2 linked regions of the Arabidopsis thaliana genome follow. The protein of the gene in region 2 purifies or fractionates together with the protein of the main gene of each other region. This does not show direct contact. Each region holds a gene or a part of one and is shown on either strand. Other genes may lie near its edges.

The links.
Region 1: the proteins of CRR41 (region 2) and ndhI purify together in Arabidopsis thaliana (affinity purification with mass spectrometry, with the first as the bait; one study listed by BioGRID). This does not show direct contact.

The regions. Positions count from the first base shown.
Region 1 is NC_000932.1:118,679-121,752, forward strand, and holds ndhI (NADH dehydrogenase subunit I), read right to left. Parts: upstream 1,085-3,074; coding exon 566-1,084; downstream 1-565. Other genes in the region: ndhG (NADH dehydrogenase subunit 6), read right to left, coding at 1-229; ndhA (NADH dehydrogenase subunit 1), read right to left, coding at 1,169-1,698, 2,779-3,074. UniProt on the Arabidopsis thaliana protein: NDH shuttles electrons from NAD(P)H:plastoquinone, via FMN and iron-sulfur (Fe-S) centers, to quinones in the photosynthetic chain and possibly in a chloroplast respiratory chain.
Region 2 is NC_003070.9:18,932,076-18,935,888, reverse strand, and holds CRR41 (potassium/sodium hyperpolarization-activated cyclic nucleotide-gated channel protein), read right to left. Parts: upstream 1,591-3,813; 5' UTR 1,548-1,590; coding exon 912-1,547; 3' UTR 590-911; downstream 1-589. Other genes in the region: AT1G51110 (Plastid-lipid associated protein PAP / fibrillin family protein), read right to left, coding at 93-146, 216-509; AT1G51090 (Heavy metal transport/detoxification superfamily protein), read right to left, coding at 2,142-2,563, 2,686-2,767, 2,893-2,904. UniProt on the Arabidopsis thaliana protein: Required for both formation and activity of the chloroplast NAD(P)H dehydrogenase (NDH) complex of the photosynthetic electron transport chain.

The sequences.
Region 1 (3,074 bases), on a different chromosome or scaffold from region 2:
CAAATATGATTAAAACATTTATGGCCCCCACATAAATAAGGAGTTGTGCAGCAGCTACAAAATGGGAATTTGATAGAATATACAATAAAGATATACAAACAAGAACAAATCCTAAGGAAAAGGCTGAAAATATTGGGTTGGGAAGTAATACCACTCCCAGACCCCCTACTAGAAGACCGGATCCCAGAAAAACTAAAAGAAAATCATGTATTGGTCCAGGCAAATCCATTATATTATTAAAATAAGAAAAAATCGAAATCCTTTTCATGACCTTATTAATTTAACCAGGAAATTTGTTTTTTATATGTTTCTAAATAGAGTGAAATTAGAATCTAATGGATATGAATTGATGTAGATACAATTATTAGTATTAGGCTGTTTTCTCTTTTTTTTTTTCTAAAGTGTATTTTCAACCTATCAATTTCAAGAAAGTAATTACGAATATATTATATTAAAAGAATGTGCCTTAATACTTAATATTATTATTATTATATAAATACAATACAAGTTTTTAATTAAATTCTTTATATAAATATAATTCAACAACTTGGAATTCTTTTTTTAATCAAATTAAAGGGTTTACCCCATTTTTTGTTTGAGGTGAATTCCAAATTGTTCGAATAGTGTAATCGTCAATTACTGACATTGGTAAACGACCCAAAGCTATTTGATTATAATTCAATTCGTGACGATCATAAGTGGAAAATTCATATTCTTCAGTCATTGACAAACAATTTGTTGGACAATACTCAACACAATTACCACAAAATATACAAATTCCAAAATCAATACTGTAATTAAGCAATCGTTTTTTTCGAATATTAGTTTCCAATTTCCAATCAACAACAGGCAAATCTATAGGACATACTCGAACACATACTTCACAAGCAATGCATTTATCAAATTCAAAATGGATTCGACCGCGGAAACGTTCCGATGTTATTAATTTTTCATAGGGATATTGAATAGTTACAGGTAAACGATTTGTGTGGGATAAGGTAATCATGAAACCTTGACCAATATACCTTGCAGCTCGTAGGGTTTGTTGACCATAATTCATGAACCCGGTTATCATAGGAAGCATATTGTAATTATCTCTGAATAATTTTATCTTTGTTTCTGTCTCTTGTTTAAAACAAATAATGAATATATTAGATTCATTTTAAATTTAGAGTGAAAAGAGTTGGAAAGAAGTGGTTAATAATAGATTACCAAGGGAAATAGGTAAAAGAAATTTCCATCCAAGATTTAATAGTTGATCCATTCTTAGCCTAGGTAAAGTCCATCTTGTTGCGATAGAAACGAACAAAAACAAATAAGTTTTAGCTAATGTAATAAAGATACCAATTGTTGTTCCAAAAATTTGATCCCTTTGAAATAGCTCCAGAATAGATATATACGGAATAGAAATATTCCAACCGCCTAAGTATAGAACTGTTACAAATAATGAGGAAATTAATAGATTTAGATAAGAAGCAACGTAAAATAAACCAAATTTTATACCTGAATATTCAGTTTGATAACCTGCTATTAATTCTTCTTCCGCTTCTGGTAAATCAAACGGTAACCTCTCGCATTCTGCTAGGGAAGAAATTAGAAAAATGATAAAACCTATAGGTTGACGCCACAAATTCCATCCCCAAAAACCATATTTTGATTGTGCCTCAACTATATCAACTGTACTTAAACTGTTAGATAATCCTAGTCGGCGAGAACATTACTATTTTCACCGCTATTTCAGAACCGTACATGAGGTCTTGGCCTCATACGGCTCCTCGGGGGCCATAAATAAATCTAAGGACCAGATTATAATTTAGATGGATATGATGTGTTCTAAAATGGATTAAATATATCTGGGGTCCCGAATTATACCAATGGAATTCTGTCTGCTCAAATTCTAAGAATAAAAAACGCGCTTCGGAATTCATCTCACCCCTTTACAAATTTGAATTTCTATTTGTTGAGTAATAACTTAACCCTTTAATAAAAAACTCCTAAAAAAAAAAAGTATTTAAGCCCATCGTGGTTTTCGATTACGAAAAATAATTAGACATCCTATTTTTTTATTATTCATGACAGAAATTCGATTTTATTTTCGAAATATATGAAAAAAAAAAGAGCCTTGTTTCGTTCCTATTCTTCTTTCTTTTTTAGAAAAAAGTTGGTAGACTTATAAAAAATAAAGGATTATTTCGTTTCTGATAGTCATTACATTTGTCGGTGGATAGGAGCATACTCTGAATCGGAATCTTGGGGAGTACTGTCTGATCATTTCTACTAATTTAAAGCCCCAATTAACCTTCTTTTTTTTATCTTATGTTAGGCCTAAATATCCTTTTCAATTTGGTTAATCTCTATTACAAATTCTTTGTGTATTTTGGTGTTTCTAACCATCCACTCACTTTTACCTAATTGCCGCTCACTTTGTAATACATGTATGTTAATCTATATAACTGATAGTGAAAACGTCATCCGGTTACCGGTTAATATATTTAACCCGCTTCAAGTCAGGATGACTAATCAACCAACCTTGGGGTAAAGTGATTCTTACACTTATGTTTATTTCCGTTTAACCTTTGTACATAGGAAATGAGACTCATTTTTCGTTTTACTGCAAATTTCAGAGCAGTTTTTTTTTCACTCATATATAACTATCAAATTCCTTTTATTAATTATTTCGATTAATTCGAAAGATAAATATATATTCCGTTTTTTAACTGATTCGTCTAGAAGAAACGGAATAGTAAAAATAAACGTTTCTGTTTCAACGAATCGCACGTAGAGATATTGATAAAACACATAGAGTTAATGGTATTTCATAACTAATCGATTGGGCAGCAGCTCGCAGACCACCTAAAAAAGAATATTTATTATTTGATCCATATCCTGACATAAGAAGTCCAATAGGAGCAATACTTGAGATGGCAATCCATAAAAAAATACCGATATTGAGATCCGCTAAAACAAGGTGATTGCTAAAGGGAATTACTGAATAACTTAGTAAAATAGAGATAACTGCTATAGATGGTCCAATACTAAATAAAGGAGTATTTCCTCTAGATGGACGAAGATTT
Region 2 (3,813 bases):
TCCCCAAAAGACAACCAAATGAGTCAAAGAACAAAACATAACAGAATTTGGTAATTTGAAGATAAAAGGATTCACAAGAAAACATTTCATACAGGATTTTGAATGCCTTCTAAACCTTCAAGAACTTTCACAGCAGATTCAACATCCTACAACAGAGAATCTCTCAAATCATAAACACGACGGAAAATTAAAGAAAGTTTAAAGTTTTTACACACATTGAGCTGTTTAGGAGAAGCAGATTTGCCACGGCCTTGAATTCCGATCAAAGCGTCAATGAGTTTCAACTCAGCATCATTAAAAGACGATTGTTGAGTTTGGTCAGTGACAGTAGATGAAGATGAACAACTGATTCGCAGAGTTCTACAGTTTCTAGACAAACCTAGTCTCCTGCTTGTTGTGTTAAGAAGATTGAATCTCGGAGAACACAATGAAAGAGAAATCGGCGATGATGGGCATGGACATAAACATGGTAGCGACATCTCTACAGCGTAGAATCTGACTGCCACCATTGTTGCTGTCTACTGCTGCTTGTGAAGCTTTTGTTAAAATGATTAAACTTTGCATTTTTAATGTGTGGTGTACAATAAAGCTTGAGTCTTGGTGAAATATCTTGAAATATGAAACTAGTGGAAGTAAAATTTTCTCAACTAATTAAGTTTTTTCCTCCCAAAAACCCTTAAGCTTCCTCACAAATTGCAAAACCAAAAGCATGAATCTTTGTTTTGATTCTTCACATGAGACTCTCATCTTCAATCCTTCTTCTACCATTAAAGTAACAGATGAATGATCCAGAGATGATTACAGAACCAAAAAAATAAGATCTTTTACAGATGAAGAAGCTCTGTTTTGTGTAAAACTATAAACAAAATTCATAGACTTTTGACTCAATTTGCAAGTAGAAGAAGAAGGAATTAGAAAGAATTAGCAACAAGAATAGCTTGTCGACACCGAGCTCTAGCTTGTTCAATCCTCTGACTCAAAGTTTCATCTTTAACAGAAGCTTTAACCATAGCTAAATCCATCTCCATCAATTTCAAAACCCTAAAAAGCTCTGTAACCATTCTCTCTTCAACTTTACCTTCATCTCTCAAAACCTCAGCTTCTTCTCTAGCTCTCTCTGCAACAATCTCACCAGCTTTAGCTAAAAGCTCCTTTGATCCAAACTCTCTCGCCATTAAAGCTTCGAACTTTTCTAAGAAATCCATTATTACATAACCTTTAGGTTTCTCCAAGTTTATCTCTTTTGTTCTTTTCCAACCGATTTCGAAGTTTGGTGGCTCTGGTTTCTCGATTCCTCTTTGTGTTCTGTCTCGTATGATCTCTGATCTTCTTCGTTTCTCTATTGGGAATTTCTCTGCGCTTGTTGTGTTGATTGATTCAGGTGCTGGTGTGAGATTGATGAATTGATCCTTTGACTCTGGATTCGACGAACATTTTGTTGAGAACTTTGTTGTTCGACGAACGAAGCTATTGGTTCTTATTGGGACTGCGATGTGAAGATTCTTAGAGGAGAGAGATGGAAGAAGAAGTGTGGAAGTGGAAGCCATTGATTTAAAAAGCTTAGAGGAAGAGTGTTAAAGAGGGTTTTGAGAATTGGAGAAAGATAAGGCCTTCTCTGGAGTTACAGTACACTATAGCGTCGTTTAAGTGTTTCAGACAAGAACGTCACGTCGTTTTTAGTTTCCGTTTAAACGGTGTCGTGTGGAGGTGTAAGCACCACGGCTGCTCTTTTCACAGTAGAAAGAAACAGTGTCATCTGTGGATAAGTAAACTGTAAAAACATAATAGTTGAGTATTCATCGACTCATGTCACTCATTGGAGAGGCCGGTCTCAGAGTTTTTAGTTTCCATTCTTTCGTGCTAATATACTTTTATTTTCTAACAGAAACTATATTTTTATGCGAAAAATCTTACTATTTGTATTTTACTACCAAGAAAAGAAGAGCAAATAAAAGTTGTATTAGAACCAAAACGTGATATACACAAGAAACAAAACCCTGTAGTGTTTACATACATAAACGAGGACTCGAAATAGAAATACTGGTAAGACGAAGACAATTAAAAATAACTTCGTGTAGTTATTTATTTGCTGGTATATACTATAGTCTATATATGAGTAGGAGGAGACTTGGTTCAGTGTTTCACATGATGGAGCATCCTTGAGAGTTCATATCTTCGTGGCAACATTGTCGTCCACCTCCCCAGCTCTCGTAAACGGGCCTTCCATAACATTGGTACTGTTGGGCCTCGTAATACGGCCCACAATGATACGGCTGCCACATCGGCATCGGTTGAGGAGCGGAAGACGAAACAAGAACAGGAACCGGAGCCGGCCGAACAAGAGCTGGGGCTTGGGCTTGGGCTGGGGCTGGGGCTGGGGCAGTAGGCTTCTGAGGTGGTTGAGGCTGGGGTTGAGGCGGTTTGGGTGGCTCAAGGATCACGATGGACTTGATAGAACCGTCTCCTTTGTAGCAAAGTTTGTTCATTAGCCTCTCAGGATCGTAACAAACTACTTTGATGATGATCGTGTTGGACTTCTCATCAAACAATTCGTCTGTTATTTCTATTTTTTTTTGCAAAACAACACATACCACAAAATCGTATCCATTTATCAAGATTCAGAATCTTCTCAACCCGCAATAATTCAAATGAACAAAGAAACTCAAATTAAAGAAAGAAACTCACGAGGGAATTTGCGGATAGCTTTCTTGACCTTTTTGTAGCATTTGGAACAGTTTAGATCCACTTTCAATTTCATCATCACTACCTGTTTGTGCATATCATATAATTTCATGATCATTATTACCTTAATTAGTAACTCTATTAGAGGGTAATTATGGATATGATCAATAAAAGAGAAGTAATATGAAAATTCAGATCTTGGTAAAGTACCTTCTCCGCCATAGCTTGGGAGTCTTGCTTGAGTCACCAAACAAGTACAAGAACACAAGTATTTTATGTGTATTCCTTGCATGATTCAATATATATAGAAAGTGATATAAAGAGAGACTTAAAATGAGAACAAGAAAGAAAAAGTTTATTATTTCTTTCGGTTTTATCAAATGAAAATATCTAATTTTGTATCTAAAATGACGTGTATGAATTTATGAAACACGGTGTATCACACATAATTTCGAAGTTTCTGAAGGTGACGCCGACATCAATTACGCACACAGCTGAGAATTACCAAAACGGGCTCACATTAGTCAGTGCACGACCACAGTTCAAGTGCTTATAGTGGTCCAAGTTTTCTAATAATTTTGGGTTATTCTTCTGTGGTGCGAAATAATGAGCCGACATGGATGAAATGGTTGTAAAAGGACTGTCTGAATTTGATGTTTCCTTTAAGACTCTACCAATCAACTAAAAAAAATCAGTGACTCGTATTTGTATATCAAACAAGAAAAGAACAATAGGACGACAAATTGATAGAATCCAATTTTCTTATCTGAAAAAAATGAAGAGAAAATGTAATGCGAATCTTATAATCAATCGTGAGATCCGTCCTCAGATATTTCTGGATTTTACATGTCCTAATTCCTGATTTTTACTCTCATATTTTCTAACCTTATATTCCACTGGCGAAACTATAAGTAACATTGGAAAAGTGAGTAAATCCAAAACAAATGGATTCAAGTTCAAAATAGTTTAATCATGTATATATAAAAATAAGGTCTCATTTTTAACAACCAATTTTTCAAAAATAAAAATAGAATAATATTTATCTCCAATTAACCCACAAAAACAATAAATTTATTCACATTTATTAATCAACCATTGAATACTAAATTGTAACTATCATACTAATTGTGT